2 linked regions of the Anolis sagrei genome follow. The protein of the gene in region 2 purifies or fractionates together with the protein of the main gene of each other region. This does not show direct contact. Links are inferred from orthologs where the notes say so. Each region holds a gene or a part of one and is shown on either strand. Other genes may lie near its edges.

The links. The genes of interacting proteins can lie anywhere in the genome.
Region 1: the proteins of POLD3 (region 2) and SPRTN purify together in Homo sapiens (affinity purification with mass spectrometry; 3 studies listed by BioGRID, with this or other methods). This does not show direct contact. The link is inferred for Anolis sagrei from reciprocal best matches to the Homo sapiens genes POLD3 and SPRTN.

Annotation. Positions count from the first base shown.
Region 1 is NC_090021.1:60,852,535-60,860,418, reverse strand, and holds the start of SPRTN (DNA-dependent metalloprotease SPRTN), read left to right. Parts: upstream 1-4,882; 5' UTR 4,883-4,927; coding exon 4,928-5,229; intron 5,230-6,387; coding exon 6,388-6,487; intron 6,488-7,884. Other genes in the region: EXOC8 (exocyst complex component 8), read right to left, coding at 335-943, 3,160-4,719. UniProt on the Homo sapiens protein: DNA-dependent metalloendopeptidase that mediates the proteolytic cleavage of covalent DNA-protein cross-links (DPCs) during DNA synthesis, thereby playing a key role in maintaining genomic integrity.
Region 2 is NC_090023.1:5,090,991-5,098,141, forward strand, and holds the start of POLD3 (DNA polymerase delta subunit 3), read left to right. Parts: upstream 1-4,143; 5' UTR 4,144-4,288; coding exon 4,289-4,348; intron 4,349-6,107; coding exon 6,108-6,163; intron 6,164-7,151. UniProt on the Homo sapiens protein: Accessory component of both the DNA polymerase delta complex and the DNA polymerase zeta complex.

The sequences.
Region 1 (7,884 bases), on a different chromosome or scaffold from region 2:
TATACACCTACACAACCAATGAATATTCATTAGTAGTTATTCTTGGTCATATTCTAATTAGCACAACCATGTTTGATTAACTTGTTAGGTTCCAGACCAAACCATCTCATGTGACCTAAAATGGCACAACCAGATCTTTGGAGGGAATGTGGATTTCCAACTATATTGTTTCTTTTAAGTTTTCCTTTTCTTTGCTTTCCCATTTCTTTTCAATACATTATCTGCTAAAGAGAACATTATCAGATTTGGCTACTATTGGGAGGGGGTTTGAAAAAAGTTATGTGTATACATGTATATACAAAGTTTAATATGAAAAGGACTGAGGCACTGCAGTTCACACCACAGAAGTAGTACTTTCAGGATTCACACGCATTAGTCTTGAAGCATTCCTCAGATCATGCAGCTGCTTAGCTGGCTTTCCAACTCCTTCTTCAAACCGCTTTTCCACCACAGGAAGAACAGTTTCATAAAGAAAAGAGGCATTCTGTCTAATGAATGTCTTCTTTTCAGGGTCTTGTTCACAGCGTAAACTGTAATCAACATGCTGGACAGCCACAAAGATGATCTCCAACAAACTTTCCAACAGAACCATGTGCAACTCTGGGAAGTAGAGTTTGAGAGCCTCCTCCAAGAAAGCCATGGTCTGTTTGGTGAAAGCCACAACTGTGTAGCTTAGGTTCACCCAGCAATCATCACCAGTGTACTGGTCAAAATTGGTGACTCCACAGCTCCTCATTTCTTCTCGAAGCTTCCCTAAAGCTTCTGGTGTCATTAGGTTCATTTTCCTCCACATCTCTTCAGAGTTGCGGTGCTTTGTGGCCTCAATGATGATGTCTTTGTAGCTTTGCAAAGCACCTTTGATATCTTTCACTAATAGGGTGTGAATGATGAAAGTCAGGTCCAGGCCAATCTCACTGAGTTGCTTGCAGTGTTCTTTTGCCACCTACAAAAAAAGGCACAATGCTAGTTTTTCCACACCTTCACACTAGTTGCACAACAGATCTCTCAATGCCCTAAAAGTACAGGGTTAGTCAAAATGCATAGGCCAATAAGCCATTTAATTGAATGGCTTATTGGCCTATGCATTTTGACTAACCCTGTATATGATTCTCCTACTACAAGCAGCAGGAAAATACACATTATATCAAGGTATATTTAAAAAGAAACTACCATATACTGTATATTCATGTGGACACACTTCAGAGTCAAGATTATGGATTTTGATATGACTACTGGATATGGTATGACCACTGGATAAGTTGAGGGTCATTATATGGAGAAAGGAAAGGACCATTACTGCTTCAGAGGGTCAGCTTCTTCCCCAACAAGGCATGCAAAAAGGTCAGAAGCGGTTCTCTTTCAATTCTTGCAGTACAAACTAAGCTCTCTTTTTTGCCACCCTACTCATTGAAGATGAAGGATCCTTTTTTATATAGGAGTTATGGCACAGTACTTACCCTGACCCAAGTTTGTTTGGGTATATTTTTCAATAAAATGTTTAGACGCATACATGTGTATTCAGTTAGTACTTTGTAAGATTTACTGAAGAGCTTTGATAACTTTGGAAATACCTGACTGAATAAAGAATTGCTCTCCCTCTCTGGTTCATTAAAATATTATGATATATACTTCTCAGAGCTTTTTAAAAGACCATTTGATAGTTATCCTTTAAGAATAGTTTATTTGGGTCTTGGATTTCATGACATATTCTTAGAATATGTAGTAATTACTCCTAGGAAATACCCAAATGGAGAATTTCATTTCACTAGAAGGAAGCCAACATATGTAGCTTCTCTCTCGGTTTAACCCAAAATTTTATTCATTTTATTCTGCTTTATTCTGCTTCATTTTTATTCTGCTTTCTCTCAAAATAGAGATTCAAGGAGAGATTAACCCCCACCCCCACCTTAGAGAACTATGCCGGTCTTCAACAAACTTGAATTGTGCCTAATTCCCTTAACAAGAATAGAACAAAATAATTGTGACTAAATTTACCTAAAGTGATAGGTCTCATGTCAATTTCAACATGCTTTCTGCATCAATTTCAAAATAGCACAGTCAACATTAATTTGAGCCATGTCAGGTCCATAAATCTTTAACATTAGTTTGTAAATAGAAACCTGCCATGAAAGCAGAAAGCAGTACATGACTCTGCATTTATTTCTATTTCTGCCACCATTCCAGCCATAAGAAAAAGACAATCTTTAACACACTCCACAGTGCTAAGAATTGAAGAGAAAGGAGTGGTGTTGGGATATAATTCTACCCATCCAATAATTTCCAGATGCGATTAAACTAAGTGCTCAAAGTGCTAGGTTGTCCTGACTATTGCAACCACTTGCAAGTTTAGTCCCTATATTCTCTGCTACGTTTTTCAGTACATACTGCCTTTCTTCGGCAGGCAAGCCACACCCTCACTTCTGTATGTGAACAAACCATTTGGGATAAAGCCAAGCTACAGAGGGAGTTTGTACATAACTTGTCCTCCCTCATCTACTAAATGATAAAAGGGCGGGGTTCTTTAGTGTTAGGAAGGCAAGAAAAACAGGTATTATCCTGCTGTGAAAAACAGCAATAGATCTTTAGAAAACATAAGAAAGCAAAACAGGAAAAATGACTGGAGTAATGCTGAGCATTGGGATGAGTGAACCACACAAAGCCACGGCCATCATAAATAACTGCCTACAAAAATAATATCCTGTCTCAGGAAGCTGGGCTAGATGACTCAATACTTTGCTTCCATGTTGCTTCTAAATTCAAGGACACTATTTGGAAAACGTTTCCACTCATGACGCCTTTTGACCTAAGAATTTTTTGTGGGTACACAAATATATAGAATAGGCATCAATAGATGTGAGAAGAAATCAGCACTTGTGAGGCTTGCTAAACAGGCTGATTTTCCTTTTTATGAACTATACCTGAAGCATCTTCTGTAGAATTACTGTGAACACTGCACAACAGATTTGTGCAAATGTCAAAACACCCACTAGCTGACATTCAGAAAACGTTTACTGCTGACAAATGTTTCTGGACTCCAACATTGAGCAAAGGGAACCCCGCTTGAGGTTGGGACCCAAAGTTTTATGAAGCTGTGATCTAGAGGATATGTAATTAAGGGTAACACAGTTTTTTTTCCATCTCATCACTTTGGGCCCTTACCTTTACACACTCAGCAGCAGTAGATAAGCTCTCCTTACTGTCAAACACCTGCTTGCTAAACGCATCCACAAACATCCTCATTGCTGATCGAGCCCAGACAACAAAAGCCGAATAGCACCCACTGTTGCCAGCAAAGTCCGTCTCAAACTCCTTTGCGGTCTCTAGCAGGCTGGTGAAGAAGACATGGCACAGCTTGTGAATGTACAGCAGAGTGGCACCTTCAATGCGCAACTGTCGGATGGCTGTGTGAACGGCCGCTTCCCTGTTCCGCAGGAAAAGTTCGCACGCCTTGGTTGACTGGCCCAACCGGATGAGCTGAGAAACAGCACGACGGGTTGCTCTGGGCCCACCTCGAAGTGACCTATCTGGAGAAAGCTCAAACACAAGCACGTCGGTGAGCTGCCTGATTCTCTCATCCACTTTTGCTCGTAACTCCCTGACTGGTTGTGTCAAGGGCTTATCCCCTAGATACTCATTCAGCTTATCCAGCAAGTCAACCGCCCCTTCGAAGTCTCTCTGAGCGATGCAGACATCCAAGTCTTCAGGCAACTCCTGAATCCACTCCAGGGAGAGATCCACCACTTCTTCCTCTGGGGTCCCCCCTTCCCCACTTTCCTCCTCATCCTCATCGAAGGGGTTGGTAGCCTCTGGAGGGGCTGGGGGAGGCGCACGGGCTGCCGGCACCTCCTGTTCCAGCCTCCGCTTCTCGCTCAGCACGCGGCTCCTCTTGGTCTCCTCCAGCACCTCCAGCCACTCTTTCTTGATCTTAGCGTTCTCGGCCTGGAAGATGCGGCTCTCGGGGAACATGAGCAGCTTGAACATGTCCTTCATGGGCGGGTTATCCTTGACATTGACGACGGCCAGGCCGTCCAGTGGGTAGAGGGCGTCGTAACGGTAAGTGCCCCGGCGGTTGGGCAGCCAGGCCGCCACCAGCAGGCAGTCGTTCATCAGGAAGGCGTGCACCTTCTGAATCTGGACCATGTGGTCGGCGTCGTACTCCACCAGGTCCCCGTTGTATACCAGGTACTTGCCGGGGCTCTCCGGAAGCAGGTCGCGGCAGCCCTCCACCTTCTCCAGGAGGGTGGTCAGGGTGCGCTGGCGGCCCTCCTCGCTGGCTGCCGCCTCCTTGGCGGAGAGGGGCAGGAAGGGGTTGGCGTGCGGGTCCGAGGAGGCAGCCCCGGCGGCTCTGTCGTCGCGGTCGGCCTGGAGGAGCAGCAACGCCTGGGTGACGGCCTCCAGGATGCCCTTCTGCTCGGTGAGGATGTGGCTGAGCTGGTACATCTCGCTCTCCAGGTAGCTGATCTCGCGCGCCGTCTCGATGAACTGCCGGTAGTTCTGGTAGACGTTGCGCTTCAGGCTCTGCGCCGTCTCCTCGCTCAGGGCCTGGATGCGCTGGCGGTGCTCCTGCAAGTCCCGGTCGCCGTCCGACTGCTGCGAGAGCTGCTTCACGTACTCCTCGGCCGCGTAGCTCCCGGACTCCAGCTGCCGCCTCAAGCGGCTCCCTCCCGCTCCTCCTCCGCCGCCGCCGCCCGGAGCCACCTCACCCAGAGACAGCGCCATGGCCGAGCCGGAGCCGCCAGAGACCAGCCTTCGCCGAGGAGGGAGAGGAAGCAAGGCGTCGCTGCGCCGGAAGCAGGGGCCGCCTCTGACCGGAAGGCCGCTTACGTGCGCCGCTGCGTAAAAAACGTCAAGGCGCCGCGCCGCAGTGACGCGAGGCGCGCGACTCTCTCCGAGGCAGGAAGACAACAAACCCTCGGCTTTACGGCGCATGCGCCGGGATTTGAAGGCGGAGGGCTCAACGAAAGGCTGTGCTCCAATGGACGGCGACTTCTTGCTGGCGCTGCGGCTCCAAGAGGAGTGGAACGCGGAGGAGGGCGGCCGCGCACGGGCCTCCCTCAAGGCCGGCCCAGCCTTCACCTCGCCGGCACGGCCGCTGTCGCTGGTGGACGAGAGCTGGGAGCTGCTGGATCCCAGCCCGGACGTGCGAGGCCTCTTCCTGCAGTTCAACCAGAGCCTCTTTTGGGGGGCCCTGGAGGCCGTGGAGGTGAAGTGGAGCCCCCGCATGACGCTGTACGGTTTCATGGGACACGTTGTGCCCCACACATTTTCTTATTCGGATTTATGGCTGTGTCCTTACCTCTTTTAAGGGGTTGGCTTAGCCCAGGCGTGGGGAAACTTTCAATAGAATCATAGAGTTGGAAGAGACCTCGTGGGCCATCCAGTCCAACCACCTCCCCAAGGCATAGTTCAGTAGTCAGAACTACCCTTGGCTCTCAAGTCTGGACTAAAATGTTCCTTTTCAGATTAAACCACAATCCCAGAATTCTCATACTAGCTGGATGTTGTAGGTTTTTTCGGGCTATATGTTCTAGAGGCATTTCTCCTGACGTTTCGCCTGCATCGATGGCAAGCATCCTCAGAGGTAGTGAGGTCTGTTGGAACTAGGAAAAAGGGTTTATATATCTGTGGAATGACCAGGGTGAGACAAAGGACTCTTGTCTGCTGGAGCTAGGTGTGAATGTTTCAGCTGACCACCTTGATTAGCATTTGATTGCCTGGCAGTGCCTGGAGCAATCTTTTATGGAAGGAATGATCTAGCTACATGCAGGAAATGTCCAAGTAAGAACATGCAGCCATTGGCAATTACTGTCAGTGATACATGCATCTTAAGCCCTAGAAGAGTCATCTTTCTTGGGAGCAGAGGAATCTCAGAAGTAAGGAAACCTTTGTGAATAAAAGACCTCAGGAGTGGGTAGCCGAATTCAGATAGGCCTGGAAACCAGGCTGTTTAATATCCTAGGTGATTTCTGTTGCTGGAATAAGTTTTACATGGAGTCTATCTCCTTAAAGTTACTTTTTAGTATTGACTTATGGATCCAAGTTAACACCTAACTCTTATATCATGCCTACCTTTTGCTCCCCAATGTCTGAACCTGACATTACTCTAACAACACTTATTAGATTGTATCCACTTTCACACTAATATTTGGCTACAGCTTCCCCTTGTTGATCAATAAACGTGTTGAAAAAAATAGGCACTAATCACAATCTTAAATTTTCTAACAAATTACTGTAAAAGAGAAAAGTCCTGATTATTTACCCCCAAGGAGAACAATCGTCCAACCTTCTATTTCAAACAAGGTAAGAACCCTAATGCATTATGAATACAGAACAGCCAAGTTGCAGTTGAAAGCAAATGTTTGTTGTTTGTGATTTATTATTTTCTAGATGTGCAGGAGTTTGCTGCTATGAAGGCCGTGGTGGAATGTGCTCCATTCGACTTAGTGAGCCCCTTCTAAAGCTGCGACCGAGAAAGGATCTTGTAGAGGTACTGTTGATGGTTGTCTTTGTAGAGAAACATCAAACAAACTGTAGTAAATTTATTGTAGCTAGCATGCCTGAACATTCAAATATGTCCAGAAGGCCCTTGAATGAATAGTTATCTAGCTCCTCACATGAGCATTTATGTTTGATGTCCTATTTGATATGAGTTTGTTCGGCCTCAACATAAGAACAAACAGATCATTTATCTTTGTTCCTTGAGGGTCGTTCCCAAAAGGTGTTGATGGGGGACAACTGCTTTACTTCACAACCATTGACTTGTGGGGTCCCCTAGGGATCAGTATTCCCCCCTATGTTGTTTAACATTTACATGAAGCCACTGGGAGAGATCATCTGGAGTTTTGGGGTCAGATGTCATCTGTATGGAGTTGTTGTTCAGCTCTCTCACTCCTTCCCACCAGTTACTAAGAAGGCTGTGATTCTATGAAATTTGCCCTCCCTCTGCTAGATAACGTGACTGCATTTGTGACTGAAAAGTGTATTTTGCTTTTAATGTTTTTGGTGTTCTTAGATGTTTAGAGGCATAGCTGTACTCAAGGTAGTACTCTGTATTTTGTAAGTGATTTTTGATCCTCTAGAACAGTGATTTCCAACCTTTGGTCCTCCAGGTGTTTTGGACTTCAACTTCCAGAAATCTTAGCCAGCTTACCAGCTGTTTGGAATTATAAGAACTGAAGTCTGAAGCACCTGTCAGACTAAAAGTTGGGAACCATTGCTCTAAAATGAGAGGATCCAGTGATTTGAGCAGCTGTCAAAAAGTAAGGTGGGTGTGATGCATGTAGCATATTGAAAATATTTTAACTTTGATTTCAAAGAAATATGCTTCTCAGATCTTTTACCTTTGAAACTTACAGAAGGAGAAGCATTACAAAATGAAATGCTCACGGTGGAATTTTTTTGTTTTGATGTAATTTGTTGTATTCAAAAACAACAAAAATATTAACAATAAGCCCTCATGTCATCAGTTGGGGACCCCTCCTCCCAGCACCAACTGCTGCTCTGGGCCAGAGTGAAGGGGGGGGGGGGACAGTTCCATCTTGTCTCCTGCATTTGTCATCAGTTAGGGACCACTCCCCCAGCACCAATTGCTGCTCTGGGCCAGAGTGAAGAGAGAGGGGGCCAGAAGACAGTTTTACCTTGTTTCCTGTGCTATGCTAATAATATAATATAATGTAGTGTACTATATTGTATATACATATAATATTTATAATATTATAATGTAATACAATATAATAATACTACTAACAATATGATATAATTATATATTTTATATTACATGTGATGTTACTAGTAATATTACAATATAATGGTATAGTACAATATAGTAATATATAATACTGATATTGTACTATGCTAATAATATATTGTATATATATATATATG
Region 2 (7,151 bases):
ATTCGATTAGCCTTTATTGAGTTATTGGTTACATAGTTTGGGATGGTAAAAGGAGTGAAAGGAGCACACGGCTGTAAAGAGTCCCTGGTTGAGGCTGCTGCTGGGGCACATTTCATCAGTTGGCCCAACTTGGCATTCAGGAACTATGGAACTCCCTGCGGCTGGTCAGATCAGCTTGAAGGCATTGGTCTGGGATGCCCTCAATGACTGTTCCACATTACCAGAAGCGACTTGCAGTTTCTCAGGTTGCTTCTGACACGACCTATATATATATATAGATATAGATATATAGATATATAGATATAGATATAGATATAGATGTAGGCTGTTGAATATTTGAAATTTGGATATGGGTGCATCCACACTGCAGAATAAATGCAATTTCCTACCTCATTAACTGCCATGGCTTGCTGCAATTTAGTCCTTGGATTTGTAGTTTGGTGAGGAATCAGCAATCTATGCCAGAAAAGGATTGTACAACTGCAAATCCCATGATTCCATAGCATGTCAGTTAAAATGGCATCAAACCATATCAATTCTATAGTGTAGCTGCATCCCTTGAGATTATTTATTTATTTACTGTATTTGTATACTGCTCTTCTCAGCCCTCAGGCGACTCAGGAACTCCATGGACAAATATGTGACTTTTTATACACATTTTGAAAGGGTACACCTTTGTTATTGAAGGCTTTCTTGGCCAGAATCACTGAGTAAAAATGCAAGATTAGAAAAGTGGCTTAGTCACAAAAGCAAATGAATGCTCAAGAAATAGGTGTGTGAACTCCATCACAAGACCTGAGGATACCCGATAGACAATCTCTTACCAAATGACAATGGAATGTTTGTACGAACTCCAACCCGTTATAACTCAAGATTCGGGGCTTCCAAGAATGAAGAAGTGATCTTGCTGGTGAGCCCAGCTGTAAATAAAATCCTGCTTTTTTCCACTCCAGAAGACTCGGTGTTATCCTTAAACACTGACTGTTACATACTGGGGGATCAGACTTCCTGTGCCTCCTCCTGATTGATTGAGAAATGACCCAGCTAGGATCCAGACATAGATTGGCCAGGGGTTTCCCTTTCATCACAGATCGGAGGAAGAGATCCCTACGGCAGGAAGAAGAACAGCTCATTATTGGTAGGTCATAGAATCATAGAATCAAAGAGTTGGAAGAGACCTCCTGGGCCATCCAGTCCAACCCCATTCTGCCAAGAAGCAGGAATGTTGCATTCAAATCACCCCTGACAAATGGCCATCCAGCCTCTGCTTAAAAGCTTCCAAAGAAGGAGCCTCCACCACACTCCGGGGCAGAGAGTTCCACTGCTGAACGGCTCTCACAGTCAGGAAGTTCTTCCTCATGTTCAGATGGAATCTCCTCTCTTGGAGTTTGAAGCCATTGTTCCGCGTCCTAGTCTCCAAGGAAGCAGAAAACAAGCTTGCTCCCTCCTCCCTGTGGCTTCCTCTCACATATTTATACATGGCTATCATATCTCCTCTCAGCCTTCTCTTCTTCAGGCTAAACATGCCCAGCTCCTTAAGCCGCTCCTCATAGGGCTAGTTCTCCAGACCCTTGATCATTTGAGTCACCCTCCTCTTGTCAACATCTCTCTTTAATTGTGGTGCCCAGAATTGGACACAACATTCCAGGTGTGGTCTAACCAAAGCAGAATACAGCATGGGGAGCATTACTTCCCTGGATGTAGACACTATGCTCCTCTTGATGCAGGCCAAAATCCCATTGGCTTTTTTGGCCATCACATCACATTGTTGGCTCATGTTCACCTTCCTGTCCACGAGGACTCCAAGATCTTTTTCACACGAACTGCTCTCGAGCCAGGCATTGTCCCCCATTTTGTATCTTTGCATTTTGTATTTCCTGCCTAAGTGGAGTATCTTGCATTTGTCCCTGTTGAACTTCATTTTGTTAGTTTTGGCCAATCATCTCTCTAATCTGTCAAGATCGTTTTGAATCCTGCTCCCATCCTCTGGAGTATTGGCTCTCCCTCCCAATTTGGTATTCGTCTGCAAACTTGATGGTTCTGCTTTCTAGCCCTTCCTCTAAGTCATGAACGAAGATCCTGAACAGGACCGGGCCCAGGAGGGAACCCTCCTGATGGCACTCCACTTGTCACTTCTTTCCAGGATGAAGAGGAGGAAGCCTTAGGGAGAATCATCCTCTGGGTTCGTCCATTTAACCAATTCCAGATTCACCTTACTGTAGTTTTGGCTAGCCCACATTGGACTAGTTTCCTTGCCAGGAGGTCATGGGGGACCTCATTTGTTGCACTCCAGGAAAAGAATAATCCTCTGTCTTTAAACACCACACACTGAATAGGAAAAAAAAAAAAAAAACCAATCCTTTTATTGATGATAAGTACATGAACAGTAAAACAAAAGGCACTTTAAAGAAATGGGTAAATCCAATTAGGTAAGAAGATAAGTAGGAACAAATTAGTTGCTGGTAGAGTTCAGCGAAGTCCATAAAAGCAAAGTCCACACAACTCTAATACAATCCAGAAAATCACCTTTTTTATGGTGCTTCTTTTTTGACTTGGGTGATGGTTGGAGTTTTTATGTAGATATCTATCTGTGTGTGGGGGGTTTCTGTAAATTGTTGATCAGGTTTACGGATGACTAGAACATCTAGAAAAGGTTCCTGGACCACCTGAACAGCATCCATTCAAACATCCAGTTCACCATGGAAAAAGAAAAGGAAGGAAGACTGCCTTTTCTAGATGTACTAGTCATCCGCAAACCAGATCAACAATTGGCTCACACCGTTTACAGAAAACCCACACACACGGATAGAGATCTACATAAAAACTCCAACCATCACCCAAGTCAAAAAAGAAGCCCCATTAAAGCCTTGGCAGACCGTGCAAAAAGGAATCTGTGAAGCCCACCTCCTCCAAGATGAACTGGACCACCTCAACTGGGCTCTCCAGGCCAATGTAGACTCCACCTCAGACATCAGAAGAGCTGCAAGACAACCGAGAAGAAGCCACGAGAGTAAAGATGAAGATCCACCCAGAGGAAAAGGGTTCCTGCCATACATCAAGGGAACCACTGACCGCAGAGGGAAGCTGATGAGGAAACACAACATACAAACAATCTACAAACCCACCAAGAAAATCCAACCAATGCTCCGTTCAGCAAAGGACAAGAGGGATCCTCTCACCTCTGCAGGAGTCTACCGTGTACCATGCAGCTGTGGACAAGTCTACAGAGGGACCGCCAAACGCAGCATTGCCCAGACACGCATCAAGGAACATGAAAGGCACTGCAAACTACTCCAACCAGAGAAGTCAGCCATAGCAGAGCACCTGAGGAACCAACCTGGACACAGCATATTATTTGAGAACACAGAAATGCTGGACCACTCTCACAACCACCATGTCAGACGACACAGAAAAGCCATTGAAATCCACAAGTGTGTGGACAATGTCAACAGAAAGGAGGAAACCATGAAAATGAACAAAATCTGGCTACCAGTATTAAAAAAAACTCTAAAATTAAAACAGCACAAGAACAGAGGGAAAACAATCAGGGATATTGTCGAAGGCTTTCATGGCTGGAATCACTGGGTTGTTGTAGGTTTTTCCAGGCTATATGGCCATGTTGCCTCCAGAACCTACAACAACCCAATCAGGGACATCTAATCACCTCTCAAGAAAAGATTGCTCCAGGCACTGCCAGGCTATCAAATGCTAATCAAGGTGGTCAGTTGAAACATTCACACCTGGCTCCAGCAGACAAGAGTCCTTTGTCCCACCCTGGTCATTCCACAGATATATATACCTATTTTCCTATAAACCTATAGACCAATTTTCCCAGTTCCAATAGACCTCATAACCTCTGGGCATGCTTGCCATAGATGCAGGTGAAACGTCAGGAGAAAATGCCTCTAGAACATGGCCATATATAGCCCCAAAAAAATCTACAACAACCCAATATCTCTCTGTGCTTAAATTTCAGATGAGAAACCTACTATATTTTATTATGGGGTGCACTACTACAACTCCGCCAGTAGAGGCACTGCACCCTTCTGCAGCCTTTCCAGATTGGATTTCGCTTTTTGCCTTCAGGGGGGAAAAAAGTCCCTCGGGGGCTGCCGTCGGAGGCGTGCCTGCGTACGCGCGCGCGCCAAAGGCACTTTTTCCGGCGTGTCCCCTCGCGACCACCGTCGTTGCCATGGAGAGGCGGCCTAGCCAAGCGGCGGGAGTTTTCTGCGCGCGAAGGTGAAAAGGAAGGAAGGAAGGAGGAAGAGGAGGAAGGCAGGCAGGCATCATGGAGGACGAGCTCTACCTGGAGAACATCGACGAGTTCGTCACGGACCAGAACCGCGTCGTGAGTTTTGGGGAACCGAGGAAGGGGGGGGGGGGAGTTGGACTACAACTCCCAGCATCCCCTTCACACACAGACATGCCTCCAAACAAGGCCTAGCTTTGGATGAGCAGCACTATGATGAACTAAAGAGCTGGTTGCGGGTGCTGGGAGTTGTAGTCCCAAAACAAAAAAGAAGGGGGAACATTCCCCTATTATTAGTATCAGAATATATTATTATTATTATTATTATGTTTATTTATACACAGCTTTTTCTCTCCACAAAAGAGACCCAAAGCAGTTATGTATCTACTATTAGTATTACAAGCTATAGACCAGTCTCCTCCTTGTTGTATCACCTTTACAAAGTTCTGGAGAGACTTATTTTGCATAGAATTATGGAGAAAATAGACCCCTGTCTGATCCCACAGCAAGCTGGCTTCAGGAAAGGCAGAAGCTGCACATCGCAAGTGCTGAACCTGACTCAGCACATAGAAGATGGCTTTGAAAGGCAGCAGATCACAGGAACTGTCTTCATAGACCTGTCAGCAGCCTATGAGACTGTGAACCACCACCTCCTCCTGAGAAAAATGTATAGTATCACAAAGGACGACCACCTCACCCGCCTCATAGGAAACCTGCGTCACAGGCGCGTTTGGTGGGGGCGCGGGACAGGACCTTTTCTGTGGTAGCCCCCCGACTTTGGAACACCCTCCCCAAAGACATCAGGCAAGCCCCTACATTGGCAGTCTTTAGGAAGGGCCGGGCCAAATGTGATGGGTACAGATTAAAAAGTGCTGGGTGTGACAGTTGGTATGCCGGATTTTAGGGTAAGTGCAGTGTGCAGGCAATCTTAAAACTCTGATAAAGTGCTTCTGGGACATATTGCTGGAGTTTTCCTATTCTGGAAAGGCACATCGGAACAGGTGGTGCAATACCGGCTAAGCAGTGCAATTTCTCCAGTGGTGTAGGGCACAGACCTAAAATGCAGCATGTCTCATTAAGAGCCACATCCACTGTTTTAGTAGCCAAGCATAAGGGCAGATGTCTTCACTGTGTCTGGTTGTGATCCCCAGGTTGTGCCAGTCAGCTTTCGTATGATATTGTTTCTAGCACCCACTTTTTGCTTCATGTTCAGGCAGTGCTTCTTGTAGGTAAGAGCATGGTCCAGAGTGACTCCCAGGTATTTGGGTGCGCAGCAATGCTCCAGGGGGATGCCTTCCCAGGTAATAATCCTCAGAGCTCGGGATGCTTGTCTGTTCTTAAGGTGAAAAGCACATGTCTGCGTTTTAGATGGGTTGGGGATCAGCTGGTTTCCCCTGTAGTAGGCAGTAAGAGCACCTAGAGCTTCGGAGAGCTTCTGTTCTACCATCTCAAAGCTCCCTGCTTGAGCGGTGATGGCACGATCATCAGCATAGATGAAACTCTGTCCCTTCTGGCAGTGGCTGGTCATTTGTGTAGATGTTGAACATGGATGGGGCAAGCACGCTTCCCTGAGGCAGGCCGTTCTTCTGTTTCCGTCATCTGCTTCTCTGGCCCTGGAACTCAACAAAAAAGCTCCTGTTTTTCAGTGCTTGTCAAAGTTTCTTGGAATAAATGTCTGTCTGAATAAAAGTTTGCCTATGCCTGCCATATGGTCAGCTTAAGTTCGAAATGACTTGAAGGCACACAACATGAGGGTCTTATGAGCATCATCTGCCATTGTGTTATTATGTTTGACACTTCTACGGAGGCTGGAGTTGGTATTTGTTGTATGTTAAGACTGTTGTGTTTCCCATTACAGGTGACCTACAAATGGCTCAGCTACACCTTGGGTGTTCATGTCAACCAAGCTAAGCAGTAAGTATTGCTATATCTTGTATCTTATCTTCAACAACCAAAGTATAGGTATCAAGTTCAAACCTCAGAGGCTGCGAAAAGAATAGAGGCCTAAATTTTTATCATCGCACCAAATCACTGTCAATAGAATTAAAAGAATTACTGACTAGGGCAATAGTGGGACTCATGTGACCCTCAAGATCAGCCACAGCCAAGCATAATTATTATGGGAATTATTCAGAGATCCATGTAAGTTTGATCTCTCTCTGTAACGCTTTCTATCAAGAATCTACTAACCTTTGATCAATGAAGCTCTTATTTAAATGAACTTTTAAGAAGTTCAGATGCTGCTTTTCTTTTCTCGTCTCTTCAAAATCCAGTTAGACTTTCTAATCTTCATTTTGTAATGTTTAAACCATCTGTTTTGGCTTCGGCCTATACCTCCCACTCTGGGTCTGGATGTTCTGTGTGCTGGATTTTCACATGGCTCTTGGTTGAATGCCAAAAACTGAACATGAATGAAGGCCTAAGATGATTTATATGAGTCTGAAATGGTCGCTTTACACGAAGAAGGAAAGAAAATCTCCCAATCTTCAGAGTTCAGACATTTTGAAAGAGACTAGCTACAAGACTTGTGATACAAGGTCTTTTTCTTGTGCAAGTGTGTTGCTATTTGGGTGCATCTACACTGTAGAACTAACACAGTTTGATTCCACAACCTTGGGAGTTGTAGTTTTACAAAGTTCCTTATCCTTTTATACCAAAAAATGCTAATGCCTCATCAAATCCATTGGGGGACTTTGGAGAAGTTCCTTTCAGGGCCCTTCCTGACAAGCCCTATATCCCATGATCTGATCCCAGGTTTTTTTCTTCAAACTGGATTATGTGAGTCTACACTGCCAGATAATCTGGGATAAACAGAAAACCTGAGATCAAATCCTGGGATATAGGGCCTGTCTGGAAGGGCCCTCAGTCTCAGAGAAAGGCAAAGTCAGTTTTAATGTTTGTA